Elephas maximus indicus: one gene and its partners. The protein of the gene in region 1 interacts with the protein of each later gene in a pairwise test. Links are inferred from orthologs where the notes say so. Each region holds a gene or a part of one and is shown in the gene's direction. Other genes may lie near its edges.

Region 1 (7,121 bases):
CCAAGGTGCCCATCAATGGATGAATGGGTAAGTAAATTATGGTATATTCACACAGTGGAATACTACGCATCCATAAAGAACAGTGACGAATCTGTGAAACATTTCATAACATGGAGGAACCTGGAAGGCATTATGCTGAGTGAAATTAGTCTGCAAAAGGACAAATATTGTATAAGACCACTATTATAAGAACTTGAGAAATAGTTTAAACTGAGAAGGAAACATTTCTTTTGTGGTTATGAGAGGAGGGAGAATGGGAGGGTGAGAGGGTAGGAGAGGGGTATTCACTAATTAGTTGGTAGATAAGAACTACTTTAGGTGAAGGGAAAGACAGCACACAATACTGGGGAGGTCAGCACAATTGGACTAAACCAAAAGCAAAGAAGTTTCCTGAATAAACTGAATGCTTCGAAGGCCAGTGTAGCAGGGGTTTGGGGACCATGATTTCAGGGGACATCTAAGTCAACTGGCATAATAAAATATATTAAGAAAACATTCTGCATCCCACTTTGAAATGTGGTGTCTGGGGTCTTAAACGCTAGCAAGCAGCCATCTAAGATGCATCAATTGGTCTCAACCCACCTGGAGCAAAGGAGAATGAAGAACACCAAGGACACAAGGTAATTAGGAGCCCAGGAGACAGAAAGGGCCACATGAACCAGAGACTACATCACCCTGAGACCAGAAGAACTAGATGGTGCCCGGCTACAACTGATGACTGCCCTGACAGGGAGCACAACAGAGAACCCCTGAGGGAGCAGGAGAGCAGTGGGACGCAGACCCCAAATTGTCATAAAAAGACCAGACTTAATGGTCTCTCTGAGACTGGAAGGACCCTGGTGGTCATGGCCCCCTGACCTTCTGTTGCCCAGGACAGGAACCATTCCCGAAGCCAACTCTTCAGACCTGAATTGGACTGGACAACGGGTTGGAGAGGGATGCTGGTGAGGAATGAGCTTCTTGGATCAGGTGGACTCTTGAGACTATGTTGGCATCTCCTGCCTGGAGGGGAGATGAGAGGGTAGAGGGGGTTAGAAGCTGGCGAAATGGACATGAAAAGAGAGTGGAGGGAGAGAGCGGGCTGTCTCATTAGGGGGAGAGTAATTGGGAGTATGTAGCAAGGTGTATATAAGTTTTTGTGTGAGAGACTGACTTGATTTGTAAACTTTCACTTAAAGCACAATAAAAATTATAAAAACAAACAGACAAACCCATTGCTGTTGATTCCAACTCATGGTGAATCCACGTGTTACTGAAGAACTGCTCCATAGGGTTTTTTGGCTGTAATCCTCATGGAGGAGGCCGGCTGGTGCAATGATTAAGAGCGTGGCTGCTAACCAAAAGGTTAGCAGTTCAAATCCACCAGCTGCTCCACAAGAGAAAGATGTGGCAGTCCACTTCCATAAAGATTACGGCCTTGGAAATCTAATGGAGCAGTTCTACTGTGTCCTATAGGGTCGCTATGAGTTGAAATCGACTTGATGGCAATGGGTTGAATCTTTATGGAAACAGATAGCCAGGCCTTCCTTCCACTGTGTGGCTGGGTGGGTTTCAACCTCCAACCTTTAGATTAGTAGTCAAGCATGAACCGTTTGCACCACCCAGGGACCTAACTAATAACACAGGTCATCAGTAAATATTTGTTAATGAGTAACTACATGAATTAGGGAATGAATGATGAAGGCTGTGGTTCCTCAGCTTGCCTGTGGCTTTTGAGGCTGCTTGTTTTACAAAGAATGCCTCAGGCCTGTGACACCTTGTGTCCCAGCTTTTTATATGAGGATGGAGTTGTTACAAAGTCTTAAAAAATAAGTAGGGTAGAAAACATCTGTAAGGAACATATAAAGGGAAATCAAATGGGCTAATTAGCAGCTGATCTGGATTTTTAGTTCTACCAGACTCAGGACTGAATTTATGCTTTGGAACAAAATTCAAAATAAGAATAAACTATGTGAAAATGTATAATGTCACTGTCCTAGAAAAAGTTCTTGTGATAGACTTTAAATATATCAGCTTTGAAATGCCACTTATGGTTTGTTTCTATGGTACCAACCTATTTAAAGTTGGAACTGAGCAAGGATTTTCCCCCACCTCCCAGTCCTTTTGGAGGCAATATGGAAGCAGTGCCATATGGCAGAGGTTGTGCAAGGGGTGGTTAGGAGTGTGGCCTCTGGGGTGGTAATAGGAAGTATCTCTGAAATTTGAAGAATTGCAGAGATGATGTATGCAGAGAGCTTGGCAGTGTGACCCTGAACACACTGGAATCACTCTATAAGTATTAGCTCAACCGAGTGGACCCACATGGTGTGTGGCCGTATGCAGGGTATGCCAGGAAGAACACTGGCCTGGAAGTCTGAACTTCTGGGTTCCAGGCCTGGTTCTGTCTTTAAACTCACTGTGTGGCCCTTGGCATGTCCCCTGTACCAGGACCTCTAAGTTTCTTAGTGCTGCTATAACACAAATACCAGAAGTGGGTAGCTTTGAAGAATGGAAATTTATCTTCTCACAATTTGGGAGGCTAAAAGAGTGCCCCCACTCCCCCTGCCGTATCTCTGTGTCTAATTTGTTCTTTTTATAAATCAGAAGTAATTAGATACAGAACCCACCCCACTCGGGTATGAGCTAAGTAACAAAGAAAACCATATTTCCAAATAGGATTATTTCCACAGGTATAGGGGTTAGGATTCCAACACATATTTGGGGGAAGGGCGTAATTTAATTCAAAACAGGCTCCATGGCCTCATCTGTGAAAAGGAGAGGGATGGACCAATTACTGTCAGAGGACCCTGTCAAGCTGCTGCCAAGGAACCTTGTTGCTTGGCAACCCCCTCTGGGAAGGCCACGTGTCTGAGTACCTCGCTGGTAATCTAGGCACCGGCCTGGATGTCACTAAGTCCCAGAGTAATGCTTTTTCTGGGCAGTGACAGGAGACCAGGACTGGTATCACTCAGGGGCCTGAATCCAGATTTCTGGTCACCTTTTCTCATTTTCCCGAGGTTGGTCACTTTAGCCCAGACACCCTGAAAAAACCATGTTATCTTTGAGGGTTAAAGGGGTGTGAGATTGTGACTTCTAAATGCAAATAGCCACAGCTATTTACTAAGCTCTTGCTATGCCAGGGAGTCCCTGGGTGGTGCAAATGGTTAAAGCTTGGCTGCTATCCAAAAGGTCAGAGATTGAAGTCCACCTAGAGGCACCTCGGAAGAATGACCTGACGATCTACTTCCAAAAAATCAGCCATTGCAAACCCTATGGAGCACAGTTCTACTCCGACACACTTGAGGTTGGCATGCGCCAGAATCCACTGGTAAGCAACTGTCTTTTCACTATACCAGGAACTGTGCTAAGAGCTTTACATGCAATAATTAGTCCATTTTTGTCCTGAGAATAATCATTTTAGATCAGCACCTTCATTATCCCCATTTTACAGATGGTGGAATTGAGGTGAAGAGAGGTGAAGCAACTTGTCCCACGTCCCACCTCTAGGAAGCAGCATTTAGCAGCACCCCACACCTAGCTAGACCCATTGTACATTTATATTAGATATGTGAATGAATAAATTATTTATCAACCTGTTTGAAAGGAAAAGAACGGAACGATTTCCCGGAGAGAACACTTGGGAACTCTAAAGTTGGCTCATTTATTCCTGTACGCCCTCAAACTCCTTTATAAGGCAACGATTCTGCGCCCACGATGGTGCTTATACTGAAGACCTAAAGATACAGGAGACACAGTTGCGGCCTTCATTACTCCCATTTGAGGGCCGTGTACCGGGCTCCCTACTGTCTCACACTAATGCTCACAACTATCCTATGGGCTAGTCCTATATCCCCATTTTACAGATTCAGAATCTGGGGCTGCTTAGGCTGAGGTGGCTCGGCGATGTCCACATGGGTCATCGTAGGTGGGCGTCGCCGTACGAGGCAGGCACAACAAGGAGCTGGACATGACGGCAAAGCGGCCGCTCGGGGACCCACAAATCCCGGTTACCTTTCTAGTATCTCTGCCCCACCGCTTTAGAACCCCAAGACGTTCTGGCTTTCCACTGTTGCCATGGGAGCCCGCAAGCCGTGAGTGCCGCAGGCGTCATTTCCGGCGCGCCTGACTAAGTGCTTCCGGGTCCCGGCCGCCGGAGTGGCGCGTTGATGGTGTAGAACAGACGCCCGTGTTTGGTTCGCGGGACATCGGAGAGGTGAGCTACGTCGGGGAGTGGAAACGGGCTGAGAAAGAGCTGCGCCACGGGGAGTGGGGCGAGGGAAAGGCAGTCTTGGCCTCACCGGTGTAGGATCCCATCTCGCAGACGGCGTTGCCGAGGCCCGTAGAGGGACCGGGCCGCTCGATGTTACGCGGGAGTTGAGGCCAGGGCCAGGGCCGAGTCAAGAACCTGGGCCACCTCCGCGTAGCGTGGACAGCAGGGTGGAGAGAAGGCCAGGCTCTAGTTCGAGCTCTGTTAGCCGTGGAACCTAGGGCGTGTTGTTTCGCTCCCCCGTCTCATTTTTGTTATTTGAAGCGTGGAAACTTTAGTAGTATCTGCCTCGTATAAGTGTCCTGGTGCTTACGTTATGTAGCCGACCTGAAGTGCCCAGCAGGTACTTAATACCTACTGAGGGCGCTACAACTCGTAGCTACTCTGATTAGTACCGTGGTTGTGCCCCAGAAGCCAACGGTATAATTTACTCCCATGTATCTGGGACTCCCAGTCTCTTCCAAGAACATTTACCGCCTATGCACTCCTGGATGAGGTTGGGACCAGCTGCACCCGCAGCAGTGAGTAGAAGAAGAAGGGGGGAACTTTCTGACAGAGCTGAGCAGAGGTTGACACACTGCTTGTGGAAGTAGTCAGCAACTGGTGGAGAAGAATCACAGTCCCTGTCACTTATCGAATGTATTGCTATGCAGTGCACCATGCTTGACACTTCGTGTGCATTTAACACCCACACACTGAGTATTCGTTGGAGTTGAGATTTGAACCCTGGCTGTGATTTTAGCACCTGATTGATTTCATAATCACCTTCCTAGGTTCATTCTCTAATCCAATAATAGTAGCAATGATAAACTTAACCAGGGTGATGACTACAGCAGCAGCTATTCTTTGAGCATTTATTATGAGTTGAGTGGTTTTGGTGTCCCTGGGTGGTGCATATAGTTAGGCACTTGGCTGCTAACCATAAGGTTGGTGGTTCAAGTCCACCCAGAGGTGCCTCAGAAGAAAGGCCTGGCAATCAACTTTGAAAAATCAGCCCTTGAAAACCCCTATGGAGCATAATTCTACTCTGATACACATGGGGTTGTCATGAGTTGGAGTCATGTACGACAACTGACTTGGTTTTTTGTTTTAAGAGATTTTTTTAAGCTCCATCTCATTGAATACCACCTTATATTCTCTAAGGTTGGTACAGTAGCTAATCCCAGTTTCAGAAAGAGACAACCAAGTCCCATCACCCGGCCACCAAGAGGTAGAGTCTCTATTCCAATCCACATATGCCTGACTGTTAAGGTAGTGTTCTTAATTACGGCTGCCTTCCAACTCATCAGAAAAGGTTCATTTTTGGGAAAGAAAATAGAGAGAGATAACTCTAAGAGTCTGTCTCTTCAAGTAATTTATTTCAGAAAGTACATCCCCCACCCCACCAATAAAGAAAAAGTCACTCTCCTGAGCCCATGCCAAGAGTCCAGATACAACTATTTCAATAATTGAAAATAGTAATAAAATCGGGGGTTTGGGAAGATATTCACCCAATTTCTGAGGCAATAATATATAGAAGAACGTATTTACTTAGTTGTTTTTGTGTGGCTTTTGTATATATGTGGGTGAAGTCTTACAGCATTGACTAGGACAGAGAAATGCATATTTTTTAAGAATCACAGATGGTTGACATTAATCTTTTGTTTCACCTGTTGTAGTACTGATTGTTTCCTGAAATATGTCTTTAACTGTCCACTTTATTGAACAGTAACAATGATTTTAACAGACTTTGAGTTTCATAGAAGTTCTGAAGGCAGCAAGGAGCAGGGACTCACAGGAAGCCTTCCATTGCTGCCTCCAGGACTTTTCACAGACTCTGCCCTTTTTGTCCCTTCCTTTAGTGACGGGCCATGTCGCTGTCCCACTTGTACCGGGACGGGGAAGGCCACATGGATGAGGACGAGGATGAGCATGAGAACTTTGAGATCACCGACTGGGATCTCCAGAATGAGTTCAACCCCAACCGGCAGCGCCACTGGCAGACCAAGGAAGAGGCCACCTACGGGGTGTGGGCAGAGCGAGATTCAGATGAGGAGCGACCCAGCTTTGGAGGCAAACGGTACTGGCCTGCGTGGGGCTGGCTCTTCCTGCTTTAGGGAAGGAGAGATGGATGGAGGGCGCTGGGTAGACCTTGTGGCCTCTTGGAGTCCTTTAGGTATGTGACATCAGCTAGGGAGGTCCATTTTCCTCTTCAGGCGAGAATGCCGCTCTTGCTGATTGAGTCATTCAGTCAGTGTTTATAGAGCAGTTACTGTATGTCAGGCCCGGGCTACAGATCCATCTAGTGGATGGAGACAGGCATTAATCAACCCTTCACACAAACACTGGAAGTCTGTTACTGTGATTTCAGACCTGAAGGAGAGCAGGGTGTTTGACCTGTTCAGGGAGGTCAGGGAAGGTCATTCTGGAGAAGTGACCCTTGAGCTGATATGGAACTAGAAGGTAACTGGAGTAGAAGGAGAGGCAGGAGGATGCAAAGGCCTTAGATTGGAGGCAGCAGGGTATCCACAAGGAAAAGAAAAGGTTTTGCAGGCTGGAGTGGAGAGAGGGAGGGGGAGCATATGGGAGGGGAGGCCGGAGGTCAAGTCCTTAGGGGCCTGGAGGTGGTGGTAGAGAGAGTGAAGTGTGGTGCAGTCTGAAGAAGGCTCTTTTGCTGATGTGCAGAATAGGCATGGAGCTACAGTGGAAGTGGGAGCTCCGGAAGGAGGCCATGGCAGTGCTCTGCAGAGGTGGGGGAGGCCCAGGCTAGGATGGGGGCAGGGAGATGGAGGAGTCAGGCTCAAAGTCTCCCCTCCCTTCCTGAACACAGCGTGAGACCATGCGTGAGGGACCACAGCTCACTTGACAGGAGCGTGGAACTGATTTGGATTCATCT
Region 2 (6,895 bases), on another chromosome or scaffold:
CATAGTGACCCTATAGAACGGAGTAGAACTGCCCCACAGAGTTTCCAAAGAGCGCCTGGTGGATTTCAACTGCTGACCCTTTGATTAGCAGCCGTAGCTCTTAACTACTACGCCACCAGGGCTTCCAGAATAGCACTAAGTGGAGTATAAATACTAGAGCTTGGACATCCTGCTCCAGCAGGCCACTTGATCTAGTTCCCTTTTAGAAATTCCCCACAATGGCTAACTCCCCTACTGAGTGCCCTAGAGCGGTGCACCTTAACTTGACTCTGTTCCAGGTGATGATTCTCTTTTTCCTCCATTTCTTGCTTGATGCCGCAGGAGCCCAGTCCATCAGAACTCATCTTTCCAAGCCACTGGATATTGGTCAAGCTGTTGTCGAGAGTGCAGCCTGCTGCCTCACCGCCAGCTAGACAGAAAGCAATCCAAGACTCCACTTAGCTGCCTGACCAGACGCCTGGCAGGCCCATCAAAATTTGTGGTTAGGGACCACTACTCCAAGACCTCTACCCTTAGGGACAGGGAACACATGCTAAATCTAATGGGCCCTAAGTTACTCCACCTTATTAGGGATTTCAGGAGAAATTCAAGTTGCAATTCAATCAAGCTGCGTTGCACCTTAAAGATCAGGCAAGGCAACCTTACGGAAGAGTTATTTGAGTATTTGCACAAGGAAAGTAACTTTTTTTCCTTCTGCTTTAGTTTTCTACTTCCTTATAGGATCAATGGAAAGGAGAAATAGAAATAATAAGTTCTTTTCCAATATAAAGAAGGCAATAGAAATGCTAAATTATAATCACAATGCTTTCAATGGTGCCCAGAGGATATGGTCAAAGCTACTGGGTGAGGAAACTTGGTTCAGGCTGCACACCTGTCTGTTATAAGCATCAATACGACTGACTGCAGACCTTGCCACCAGAGAAGAAAGGCTGGGCTCCTCACCCCTTTGCCTTGCAGATCACATACCACAGCTCTCCCATCGCTGCCCCGGAAGGGCTCCAGGAGGTCTAGGAAGATTCACATCCCTAGCTGTAGGCTTTGGTCCCAGGGTTTCGGTTATCACTTCTGTCCTCTTTGAATCACAGCTGGCTTGGGTTACAGGCTGGGGTCCTGGAGGGTGAGTGGGGGCTCCCCCACAGCTGATGAGGATGAACTTGTTGGGCCCACTGCTGCCACTTTCTTTTCCTTTGGCGGTCAGTGCTGTGATGATGCTCTGGATATTGGCATTGTTGGGGATGGCCACCACTTGGGTGTTAGGCATGGTAGGGTGGTTAATAATCTTGATTCCAGCTGGAAACTTGCAAGAGCTAGACTCTGCCACCTCCTTGGAGGCCTGTGCTTGGCCAGGCTCCTGTTGGGCAGGGGACTGCTTAGGTTGCTCCTCTGATGTTTCACCTGGGGCATTTTGAACAGGAAGGGGCAGCCTCCGTCTTTTGAGAATCAGTGGCCGACGGGGGCTGGTTTTCATTATGAATCTGTGCTTTCACTCTCCATTGAGAATCACAAGCATGGACCCTGGAAAGTATAAGGAGGAGCAGGATATCAGAGATTTGTTAGGCTGAGAAGGAGCTTCTCTTAGAGAGGCATTCCTATTTTTATGGCCAGAAGTATGAGCCTAAGGGCCCAGGTAATGCTCCCTGACCTTTGTAGAGGCTTACCTCCAATACTAAGATGAAATCCACTGACTAAAGAAAGGTAAAACTGAAGCAAACAGAAGCAATTCAAAGGGGGAAAGTGGAACTGGATTGGATTTGGGTCAAGACAGCCAAAGACTTCCTGCTGGAAGCTTAAGAATGCTTGGCTACAGAAACAAGTGAGATAGCCACAAAATGTAGAAATTATAATACACATTACTTGCTATGACTGGAGGGACAGGGATGGGAGATGCTGGAATAGGAAGGCATATGGTGATATATAGTCCCAACAAAACTCTAATGCCATAATCCATTCTAGGATAGAGCCTTTATATTTTTATGTAATTCTACTCTGTAAAAAATAGGATCAGTGCCCACAGAATCAGGGGAGAGAGGCATATTGCACTATTGCCGTAGCACTGGAGAAATCATCTCCTAGTTCACAAGGGCTCAGATAAAAAGCTTGCAGGCAACCCTTGCTCTATTTAAGGGCCATGGTGAAGTTGTGCAGATTGTGCACTGCACAACTCTAGCGGGTGCCATTCATTTTACAGGCTACATTATCATTATCCTTGCATTAATAAGGGAACCCTGTGGCGTAGTGGTTAAGAGCTACAGATGCTAACCAAAAGGTCAGCAGTTTGAATTCACCAGGTGCTCCTTGGAAACTCTATGGGGCAGGGCAGTTCCACTCTGCTCTATAGGGTTGCTATGAGTTGGAAAAGACTCGATGGTAATGGGTTTGGTTTTTGGTTGCATTAATAAAAAGAGTATTTTTCTTTCAGTTTACAAAATACTTACGCAGTGACAGTATTAGTACTTGCATGTGCTTATCTTTATTTTAGATTTCTAAGCATGTTACTGTATTAATTTCTCTTCCAGAACAAAGAGGATAAACCTTATCTCCTGATTCCTAGAATGGACTATCACCAATATGCTAAGGGAGCTTTGTAATGCTGAGGAGGGTAGTTTTTCTCTTGGGGAGAAAAATTGTGCTTTGTTAATTTTTAATAGCTACATGAAATACTCTGCCAGTTTATGCAAAATTGTGTAATTCTATTTAGAGGTACTTTGAGAGACAGGGAAATTGGCTGTCTCTTTTAGGACATCTGCTATCTCCCGAAAAATGATTGACACATTTGTATGACATTTGCCATCTGCTTTTTTGGTGCCATCTGCTTAGAATTCACAGGCCTTTCCCACTTTGCCTCTTCCCCTTCCTATATATCTAGGTTTCCTTTACCTTCAAATCTCAGTTTTACTTCCACCTCATATCTCTCCTGGCCTCCTCCCCTCCTTCCTCCCATCAGCCAGTAGCTATTATCTTCCCCTTCCTCCAAAATATCTTCTTCCTGGTCTAAGTCTTAATTTTCTCTTCTACTCCCTGACAAGCCTCTTCCTAGTATTGCCAACAACACTTTCTAGCCTGACAAGCCTCTTCCTAGTATTGCCAACAACACTTTCTAGCCCGGTGACTTCCAGAGTAACCCCATCCTGACCAGGGAAACCTTGCTAGATTCTCAACAACCAGGAGAAGGGCCCTGTAAGAGTAGGGTGGAGGCAGTGTTGCCTAGTGGTGAGAGCGCCTGAGAGCAGGGGAGTGTGTGTGGGTTGATCTTTCACTTACTGGAGAATAAGCTCAGTCTTCAGTTCAGCCACGATTCACACTTGGTAGGCCACCTCAGCCCTCCTGATGCAGGGTACAGAGGTCACACTTCCAGTAAAAGCCAAGTGGTGCTTAGAGAAATAAGTGAGAAGGCCGAGACCAGAGGTTGGATGCAGAAAAAATTTGCACCCTTACTCAGACCTCCTTCCCCGTGTGGTCCCAAACCTCCACTCCTGTCCCGCACCCTATTGCTAGACTCCCTGACTTCCTCGCCCGGAGGACTTACGGAAGCGGTGCCAGAGACCTTGCTCCCTGCCTCTGCCCAGGCCCGGCCTCAGCCTCCATTCCTCTGCCCAGCTCACCTCCCGACTGCAGCCTCCGCCGCTGCTGGGGTGAGGCTCCTAGGGCGGACTCCGGGCTCCTCCAATCTGGGGGCCGAGCCAGGGTCCCGGATAGGGACTCGCGCCAGGCCGGCCAGGTCCCCGACGGTGCGGGAGGGGTGGGGAATCCCGGGGGATCCCGGGAGGGGAGGGGGTCCCGGGCCAGGGGCCGGGGGTGGGGTCCGGCACCGGAGCTTTCAGTTTGTTCCCCTGTTTGAAATTGGCGCCGGCGGAGCGTTGCGGTCACGTGACGGGGCGTCGCCAATCGGCGCCGGCCCTTGTCTCCGAGTTCCGGGCTCGAAGCCGTGGAGACCTGAGAGGAGACGCGGCCCTGACCCTGCCGGGCGGGTAAGAGAAGCCCGGGACCGGCCCGAAGGGAGAAGGCTCCTGTGGGCTCAGAGGGGGCGGTGGGAGCGGGAAGGAGCGAGAGGGGGGCCCTGCGGTTGGGGTGGGGGGAGCGGAGAGACTGTGAGGGGACGCGGGAAGATGGTGGTGACTGGGACACGGCCCCTCTCGGCCTGCTTCTGCCGCTTTCCCACCCTCCACGCTACCCCTCTCAGGATTTCCATACCCTCTTTAAAGGTCTGTTTTAACTGATATCCTAATGGGGGGAAATTGTAGTCCATTCACCTCCGATTACCGATCCTCTGGTACCCCCAACTAGACTGAGAGTTCTTCAAGGGTAGCACATAACCTTGTCCAAGTGTCTTGCATCTTAAAACACACAAATAAATTCTCCCTCAACTCTAAATCTTCAACTACTGACCTGTCTCCTGTTTGTCTCCACTGCCAGCCAAGCTTTTTGATATAATGGACTAAAGTGCTTTATTCACTTACTCAACAAATGTTTGCTGAGCACCTACTATGTGCCAGGCAGTGTGATAGGCCCTGGGAATACAATGGTAGACAGTTTTCTGTCTCATGGGCTTACCAGACTAACTGGGGAAAGGGGCTGGCATCACAAACATCATCAAATGTAGAATTATAGCTGTGAAGTGGTAGAGGTAAATGATACTTTGAGTATCTGTAATGAGGTCTTGAGTTATGTAGGTCAAGAAAGGGTTTTCTGATGAATTGAAGCTTGATGTGAGATCTGATGCCTTTGTGCAAAAAAGGGAGGGAAGCCCTCTAAGTAGAGGGAGAGAATGAAGTGTGCAAAGGCTGTGAGTGTGAAGGACACATGGTGAGTATGAAGTCGGAAAAATATCTGTAATCTAAGGAGTTCGTAGGATTGCTACGAGTTGGAATTGACTCAGTGGCAATGGGTTTGTTTGTTTGTTTAAGAAGTTCGAGCTAACAGACCTGAGTGAAGCGTGGTGTGAGATGAAGCTGGAGCAAGAGAAAGCAGAGCCTAGCCATACTGAGTTGTGTCCTTATCCAAAAACTCAAGAAAGCCAATCAAGTTTTAAGCATCAGTGAGTCATGGTCAAACTTCCATTTTTTAAATTGCACATTTTTAAGTGGATTAGGATAGACCAGTTAGGCTGTCGTGATACTCCATGGGAGAACTGGTTGGAGCTTGAAGAAGGGGGGAAGGGGTGAAGACAGGGGGAGAAAGAGACGATTATTGAAGACAAATTTAAGAGGTAAAATTGACAGGACTTGGTGCTGGGTTGGATGAAGGAGGCGGGGAGAGGGAAGTGGCAGGTTTCTGGCTGCATAACTGGATGAAGCATGTACTATTTGCTGAGACAGGGCCCTGGAGGTGGGAGGTGATGATGAGTTCAGTTTTAAACATGTTGAGTTTCAGGTACATTTGAGGCACCTAGTTGCTGTCAAGTAGACAATGGGTATATGGGTCCTGAGCTTAGAGAATTCTAAACTGAATGTGTACAGTAGGCAGAAATTAAAATATGAGCGAGTGAGATTGCACAAGAAAAGTGTATGAGTGAGAAGGGTGCCAAAGCATAGGTGGAGGGAAAGGCCTTAGACTGCAGAAGGGACTGACAGCACCTCTACAGCTGAGAGAAAGAGGATGGATGCAGCTATGCATAGGTTTGTGTGGTTGATTTCTAGAAAATGAGAGTATTTCCTTTGGTGGCTTCTGTATTCTTTGTGAAGTAGGACGTAAGGTCATCTGTTGAGAGAAGAGGAGTTCAGAAGTCTTAGCAAGTGGAAAAAACTTAAGATAATCTTTGTGGAGAGTTGATCAGGGAATCATAGTAGGATTGCTGGGCAAGGCAGTAGGCCCATTTGATGGTGAATTTCAGCAAGTCATTAATTTCAAACCTTTAACCTTGGCCATTGCTACCATTATCTCTGTCTCCATTGGACTCCTGCAGTAGCCTAACTGGACTCCCTGCTTCCTTTCTCCACCCCTCTCTTCCCAACCAGGCTTTCCTCGCAAAGTACCTGGAGTTATCTTTTGACACTCTGAATCAGCTTATGTCACTTCCTGTCCAGGGCCTTTCAGTGACTTCCTATCACACTAAGAATAAAATCTAATCCTAGCCTACAAAGCCCTGTGTCACATGAACTGGTTCCTGCCTTTCTACTACCTCATCTTTTAACTACTCTTGAGTTCAGTGACCCTGACCTTACTGTTTCTTGAACAGGTCAGAAATAGTCCCACTTCAGGGTCTTTGCATTTACTATTCTCTCAGAGTTCAGCATTCTTCATTCATATCTTTCCATTGCTTGCTTGTTCTTTTTTCATTCAGGACTTTGTTCAAATGCTACCTCTTCAGATAGGCCTTCCCTGACAACCTGATCTAAAATAGCACTCAGTCAGCTCAACCCCTTATCCTGTTTGATTTTTCTCCTACTGCTTATCACTTTCCACTGAAAAAATCAAACAGAATGAAGAGTTGAGTTAACTGATTGCTCTCAGATTTAAAGCACCATGTGGGCAGGGATTTTATACTGTTCTCTGGTATATATTTCCAGTACCTGGAACAGTGCCTGGCATATAGTAGGCATTCGTAAGTGTTTGTTGAATGAATGAATGAACAAATGGATGTGTTCATTATTTGTGCTCTCCCTGAAATGTTAGTTCCTTGAGGGTAGGTGGGGACTTTGTCCTTTTTTTCTCCTTCTTCCCCTGATTCTCTACTGCCTAGTGATATAAATCAGATCATGTTAATTTTCTGACTCATGAATGTATAGTGGAAACAATCTGCTCTGTTGTGTGACTTTTTATTACTTTCTGGTCCTGTTGGCCTTATCTGTCTCCAGCCTCCCACCTCTACTGACAGAGCTCAGGTTCATATCCTCATCACTTCTCTCCTGGATGACACAGTAACCTCCTAACTGATCCCCTTATCTCCAGAGTACTC
Region 3 (7,061 bases), on another chromosome or scaffold:
GGGTCTTGAGACCGAGCTAATGTTTGGGTATTACGCAGATGTCTTGGAAAGATGTGAGACACGAGATGGTGACAAAGAAGAGCCTGGCTCCTGAGGTGGCTGATAGAATTGGGGATTACGTCCAACGTCATGGTAAGAACCAGGGTTTTCAGAGCTATGTGATAGAACCAGGGTAAGGGTGACATGTGTACAACTTCTGCCTCTGAAACTACTCCTTTCCAGAGATGGTGCAGAGCTCCAGAGCCTGGCCTGAATTTAATTCCCCTTTTACTGTAGCCACTTTGTGTTTTCAGATGGCAAAGGTAGAGGCAGAGGAGGCACCTGGTCATATGATCTTTTTTTAAGAAAATGAGTGGGTCTGGCTGGAGCACATTTAGGATAAATTTGGATGAAACACATTTAGATGAAAATAATAGGCCTTATTTTTCACCACATGTCTCCCCAGGTGGCGTGTCCCTGGTAGAGCAACTGTTCCAGGATTCCAGACTGTCCCAGAACAAGCAGGTCCTGGAGGGCCTGAGGGACCTGAAGCTGCTGTTTGAATACCTGACTCTTTTTGGAATTGCTGAGAAGGTAAGATGAGTTGAGAGTGGGCTTCCTGTTGAGCCCTGGGCTCCCAGGGTTCTAAGTCTTGTCTGAGATTGATGATAGTTTTGTCCCCACAGATCTCTTTTGACTTAAGCCTGGCCCGGGGCCTGGACTACTATACAGGAGTGATCTATGAAGCAGTTTTTCTACAGACCCCAAATCAGGCTGGAGAGGAGTCCTTGAGCATGGGCAGTGTGGCTGCTGGTGGGCGCTATGATGGGCTGGTGGGCATGTTTGACCCCAAGGGCCACAGGGTGCCATGTGTGGGGCTCAGCATTGGAGTGGAGCGGATCTTCTCTATTGTGGAGCAGAGAATGAAGGTAGGTCCTAGGTATGGGTGAATGGGGCCAAAGGCCTAAAAACCCCTCACGTTTCTGGAGGTGAAGTTGGATCATTTTCCTTACTACTCTTTATATCTTTTGGAGTTATTGATGCAAAGAAGTTCTTACTAGTTTTGCTATTTTTTCTTTCTTTTATTAGGTTTTTGGTGAAAAGGTACGGACCACAGAGACTCAAGTATTTGTGGCCACACCACAGAAGAATTTTCTCCAAGAACGATTGAAGCTAATTGCAGAGCTCTGGGATGCTGGGATCAAGGTATGGTGGAGCTGATATCCAGACCACCTAGGAATATGTGGAAGTTAATCCCAGTGTAATGTTTAGGCTGAAACTCCAGACCTTTTTAGTCTTCATTAGAGTGGCTTCTTAGGGTAGGAGGGCCAGCCACTTATTTCTGGCTCCCTTGGAAATACTTACTCCTATGATTTGTGTGCTGTGGTGACTTCTAAGCCTCCTACTCTGTCTTTACCTTTTTCAGGCTGAGCTACTGTACAAGAACAACCCTAAACTACTAACCCAGCTGCACTACTGTGAGAACATGGGCATTCCACTGGTGGTCATTATTGGTGAGCAAGAAATGAAGGAAGGGATCATCAAGCTCCGTTCAGTGGCCAGCAAGGAGGAGGTGAGTGGGGGCAGGCAGAGATAGATGGAATCAATGTTTCTACCTTTCCTGGATTCTTTAAGAAATACATATTTTCTGGCTGGAGAAATATCCCCAGGGTTAATAGGGATAGAGATGAATGAAGATCTACCCCAAATAACTATTGCAGCCAATGAGTATTGTCCAGGTAGGCAGAAGGACAGATGCAACCTGAATGCATACTTTGAGACTAATCAACAAAAGATATAGATGAGGTATTTGCATTTGAATCCCTTTACTCTTGAGGACATATGTTCTCCATGTCAACTTGAAGCACACGTTACTTCCTGTGGGTTGCTTAATTAGTGGGAGCAGATGCAGAGTAATATGAATCTAGAAAAGCAGTGGCTAAGGAGCTGGTATCACTTTTGAGCTTGTCACATGAGGGTTCTTTATGTTTCAGGTGACCATTAAACGGGAACATCTTGTGGCTGAAATTCAGAAGCGACTATCTGATTCTTGATCCTTGCCTGACTGTCATCTTCTGCTCTTCGTAGAAAAAGTTTCATCTAGGACTGAGTTCCCGATGGATATCACAACTGCTGTCCAGGATGGGTGACAAGCGCCTTCTGCCTTTGCTATCCTTCCTTGTTACAAAATTAATAGAAAGCCCTAAGGACTCCTGTGTCCGGTGGCTTCAAGTCATTAGTGTGAGCAGTTATTCTGCGTAGGGGCAGATGACTGATACTGTAAAGAGACATGTTCTAACTGCAGAGGCAGATGGCAGGTTTGAAGTGCCAACTGAATGCTGCCAACAGGTGCTGATATGGTTGCTGTGAGCCGAGCTCTCGGAGAGTCACCTCAGGCTGAGAGGACTGAGCAGTTGAGATCAGAACCATGATACTTAACCTTCCACTGCAGCTTCTGAAGCTGAGGCTGGTGAATTTGTCTGCAGCCAGCCCTTGGCCTGTCCAGGGAGTTTTTGGAGACAGCAAGAAGAGGCAGTGGTTGCTTTCTGCTAATGTCTGAAGACAGAGATGCTACACCACTGGATGCAAGACAGTAGCCAGATTGATCTGGTATCTAGCCCATCCATTGTTAACAACAGGGTGGGGCTGTCTGTTTAAGATCTTGAATGTCGAACTTAATAGGTGACTGACAAGATGAAAATCTGATCTTTTGAGATTTTGGAGATCATTTCCTGTGCCAGAGTCACCGCTCTGACTATTCCATGCCCCTTCATAGAACACTTTGCTGTCAAGTTGTCTGGGTAGGACAGAGTAGAGCTGTCCCACAGGATTTCCAAGAAGCGGCTGATGGATTTGAACTGCTGACCTTTTGGTTAGCAGCCAAGCTCTTAACCACTGCGCCACCAGGACTGCCCTTCCATAGGAGTAGCTGTTTTATAAGTGGTTGGATATGTTAAATAAAATATTAAATGTAGTAGTTTGAATAATTTGTTATCACGGGAATAGGCCATAGAAAATACTTGAGTATACACTGGAAAACTGGAACCTCCTTGGGATGATGTTTATTCGTTCAGTGAAGTGAGCAGCCACACTCTGTCGTATCGCTGAAAATCAACATACAGTGAGCCGTGTGCCAGAGTGCTTCACCAAAGAGTGTTGCTGATGAGTGACTTTCCCAAGTCCAATCATGTTCATTAAATTGTACTGTATAGGTTGAATGACTATAATGTTCCTAGCCGAAGGAAAAAATGAGTTAACCAAGGGGTGATAACATTGCTTCAGGAAAAAGAGATAAGGTGCAAAAAGTGCTTCCCATACATTTTTGACCTTTGCAAACACTTCAGCATAGCTTAGGGCCATAGCTCTAGTTTATGCAGGTGAATGGGGCATCTGTTGTTAGGTGGCCAGTGGGTTCTGACTCAACAGCAATCCCATGCACAACAAAAGGAAACACTGCCCCCTCGTGCGCCATCCTCACTATCCTTGCTATGTTTGAGCCCAATGTTGCAGCCACTGTGTCAATCCATCTTGTTGAGGGTCTTCCTCTTTTTCACTGACCCTTTACCAAGCATGATGTCCTCCAGGGACTGATCCCTCCTGATAATATGTCCAAAATACATGAGATGAATTCACGCCAGCCTGACTTCTAAGGACTGCTCTGGCTATACTTTTTCCAAGACAGACTTGTTTGTTTTTCTGGCAGTCCATAGTATATTCAATATTCTTTACCAACACCACCATTCTAATGGGGCATTTAGAGTCTCTGTTCTTTATCCTTAAAGATGGTTTAGAAACTCATGACAATGTGTGCAAAGTTGATTAGGTTAGATTAGAGGAACCTGTTTCTGAGCCCCAAGTTCCCTCGTTTGTAAGCAGAGGAGCCCCACTAAATCTCTTCGTAGCTCTTGCGAAAAACCACGCCAAAAAAAATGTTAGCAGGTGCCCTTACTTCCGTGTAGCTTCATGCTGCCCTTGCGCCTGCGCCGTCTCCTTGGAGCAGAGGCGGGGTCAACAAGCCTATTTTAGAAGCCCTCCAGTTCTTAGCAGCCTTAGAAAACGACACTCTAAGTTTATTGGAGAGCAAGTTTGCTTTACGCCCGAAGGCCGCTTTTTACGACATTTTCCAGCTTCCCATTCACTTCGCAGTGAAGATGGCGTCGGGCAGCGGGGTAAGTGCTCTGTGTGAGGGGGAGGTTTTGGGGCCTTCTCTGGGCGGAATAGAGACGGACTGCTGCACGGGACTGGCTATCCGACACCTCCTCGCGATCGCAGGGTCTGGGGTGCGTGAGTTCTTCCGTAAGGCCTGGGCGCAGGATCAGCGGCATCGCAGAGGTCTTGGGTTAGGGTCCCGAGGCCACCTCAGCCTCCTTTTACGGGTTCGGAGTGGCTTCTCTCTCGGAGGGTCCTGGGGCCACCTTGGCAACGAGGATCCGGTACTTTCAGTTTCTCTAGGGTTCCAGGCATGGTTAGCGACGGATCTTGAGTGCTTTTTTACCCACAGACGAAAAACTTGGACTTTCGCCGAAAGTGGGACAAAGATGAATATGAGAAGCTCGCCGAGAAGAGGCTCACGGAAGAGAGAGAAAAGAAGGATGGTGAGTGCTTGCCCAAGCAGGAGCCAGTGGTATCATAGTAGCGATGAAATCGGAGTGAGTGAGGAGTTAAAATGCGTTGCTTCTCCTCTTCTACTTTGTGTGACCTTTTGCGGAGCATAGTCCCCCTGATCCACGGTTTCTTTTGTATAAAGTGAGGGCGATGAGGTGGACTGAAGTGGTTTTTGAGATCCTTTCCAGCCCTGGTTGGTTCATTTGGTGCTTTCCTGATGTACAGAGCTTGGAATTCTTAGTAATGTCAGAGAAGAAGCTAAGTGGTGTGTATTGCTGCTGTGCATTACTGCTATCGAGGACTCCTTCTTTCCCTTGGAATTACTTCAAGAAGAGGAGAACATTTCTGACCCAGTCAAGACCCTCTGAGAACAGCGGAAATACTCATCAGGGAACCATGTGATTGTTTCAGCTAGTGCTTGGTAGTGCTGTTTTTCTTTGCCTTGTACAATGTCGAGGAGGTGGAGTTTCTCTCCTACATAAAGATCCCACTTGACAAAAAGGAATGTCTTATTTTCTTCTCTATTTCCAAATTTGTACATTTTTCTTCCATTGTATTCTCACATCATCTTGCTCCACAATCTCTTTCATTTTTTATGTAACATGTATGACGGTGCTTGGCCCATAACTGGTACTTCCTAAATGTTGGGTCCATTCCCCGCCCACTCTCCCTTTTATTTTGAAGCAGCTTGCAAAGGTTTCTTTCTGTGTTATGTTTAGAGTATCTGCCTGAGAGCATTACTGAGTGTCCTTGCTATTCTTTCAAAAGGTTGCTCTTTGTGCAAACTCCTCCCTTCAACTCAGTTAATCAATGAATAGAAAACACATTGCTTTTAGACTTACTGGCTTTAAACTGGAGAAAAGCTATAAGAAGTTGGGGATTGCTTATCACTTATTTCTCTGTTTAGGCTCTCCTTAGCTGCTGCTTCAAGGTGTCATTGTGTCCCTTGCTTCAGGAATCAAGAAATGAGTGTAGAGTTCTGAATTTTTGGTTTCATACATTTCTTTTTCTTTTCTGGTTGTGGAACTGTGATATCGAAGGGGCTCCCCTCCCCATTGTGTTCCAGGAAAACCAGTGCAGCCCGTCAAGCGGGAGCTTCTGCGGCACAGGGACTACAAGGTGGACCTGGAATCTAAGCTTGGAAAGACAATTGTCATTACCAAGACCACCCCGCAATCTGAGATGGGAGGGTGAGTTGCTGGTCGTCTTTTTCAGCAGCCAACAGTGGATCTAATAAACTATATTGGTTTTAGGAAGTGCTAGAACGGCCCCTGGCCTGCAGATAACAACCTGTTTGCCTGTAATTCCATTCTTAGATTTGTTTTTCTTTTAGTCTTCCAAGTTAACACGATCACGTCTCTAGGAGGGGTCACTCCATAGGCTTTGACATATTAGCACAGTAAATACTTCTTAATATCTTAAAAGAGATTATTTGTTCTCCTGCCAGAGAAAGAAATGAAGGAAACTACTGAAGAGATTTTTAGAGAGAAATTAGCTAGAGCTAGAATGGAGCCTAGGAGCTCTAGTGGTGAAGTGGTTAAGCACTTCACTGCTAACAGAAAGGTCAGCAGTTAGAACCCACCAGCTGTTTTGTGGGAGAAAGTTGTGGCAGCCTGCTACCATAAAGATTTATGGCCTTGGAAACCCTATGGGGCAGTTCTGCTTTGTCCTACTGGGTCTCTCTGAGTCAGAATTGACTGGGCAGCAGTGGGTAGCATGGAGCCTAGGAGCTGCTGATGGTGAAGAAGGGGGTTGGTATTCCAGACAGGCCACAAAGGCTGTATTCCTTATGGATTGCCTGGTTGTGCACCTTCCTCCCAGACCAAGACTATAACTTATAAGAAGGATCCCACAAGAGCTCTTCACCTTTCTCCCCATCCCTACTACTGCATCCAGTTTTTTAAGTTTTCTAGCAGGAAGGCAACACAGATAGTAATTAATGACGTGTTTAGTAAACTCCCTGTTGTCATTCCTCTCTCTATTAGTTACCTATTGATATGTAACAAATTGCCCCAAAAGGTAGCAGTTTAAACAGCATACAGCTCCCAAATTTCTATGGGTAAGTAATCTGGAAGTGGTTTAGGTAGGTGGTTTTGGCTTAATCTGTCTCAAAGCTGCAGTCAAAAGCGTTGGCTGGGACTACAGTCGTCTGAGGCTTAAATGGGATCGGAGGACCGGCTTCTAAGCTGTGTCGTATGACTGCTGGTTGGAGGCCTCAGTTCTTCACTTTATTAGCTTCTCCATAGGGCTGCTTACAACAAGGCAGCTGACTTTACCAGAGCACATGATCCAGGAGGGAGGGACAGATGGATGGACTAAGACAGAAGTGATGGTCTTTTATCACCTCGTCTTAAAAAGTGACACACCATCACTTTTTCCACTTCCTGTTGGTCTCAAGACCAACCCCGGTGCAATATGGGAGAGGAATACTCAAGTTTGTGGATACCAGGAGGCGGGGGCTGTCTTGGAGGCTGGCT

What was found.
Region 2: the proteins of TFIP11 (region 1) and RHNO1 interact in binary tests that used the Homo sapiens proteins (3 or more experiments, as listed by UniProt). The two-hybrid records come from large-scale screens. The link is inferred for Elephas maximus indicus from reciprocal best matches to the Homo sapiens genes TFIP11 and RHNO1.
Region 3: the proteins of TFIP11 (region 1) and ZMAT2 interact in binary tests that used the Homo sapiens proteins (3 or more experiments, as listed by UniProt). The two-hybrid records come from large-scale screens. The link is inferred for Elephas maximus indicus from reciprocal best matches to the Homo sapiens genes TFIP11 and ZMAT2.

What each region holds. Positions count from the first base shown.
Region 1 is NC_064840.1:30,360,131-30,367,251, forward strand, and holds the start of TFIP11 (tuftelin-interacting protein 11), read left to right. Parts: upstream 1-4,114; 5' UTR 4,115-4,192; intron 4,193-6,087; 5' UTR 6,088-6,096; coding exon 6,097-6,305; intron 6,306-7,121. UniProt on the Homo sapiens protein: Involved in pre-mRNA splicing, specifically in spliceosome disassembly during late-stage splicing events. Intron turnover seems to proceed through reactions in two lariat-intron associated complexes termed Intron Large (IL) and Intron Small (IS).
Region 2 is NC_064822.1:59,069,239-59,076,133, forward strand, and holds the start of RHNO1 (RAD9, HUS1, RAD1-interacting nuclear orphan protein 1), read left to right. Parts: upstream 1-3,873; 5' UTR 3,874-3,968; intron 3,969-6,895. Other genes in the region: FOXM1 (forkhead box protein M1), read right to left, coding at 258-409, 967-1,468. UniProt on the Homo sapiens protein: Involved in microhomology-mediated end-joining (MMEJ) DNA repair by promoting recruitment of polymerase theta (POLQ) to DNA damage sites during mitosis.
Region 3 is NC_064820.1:153,927,656-153,934,716, forward strand, and holds the start of ZMAT2 (zinc finger matrin-type protein 2), read left to right. Parts: upstream 1-4,039; 5' UTR 4,040-4,130; coding exon 4,131-4,148; intron 4,149-4,480; coding exon 4,481-4,574; intron 4,575-5,650; coding exon 5,651-5,774; intron 5,775-7,061. Other genes in the region: histidine--tRNA ligase, mitochondrial, read left to right, coding at 39-132, 446-573, 666-908, 1,069-1,185, 1,406-1,552, 1,974-2,033. UniProt on the Homo sapiens protein: Involved in pre-mRNA splicing as a component of the spliceosome.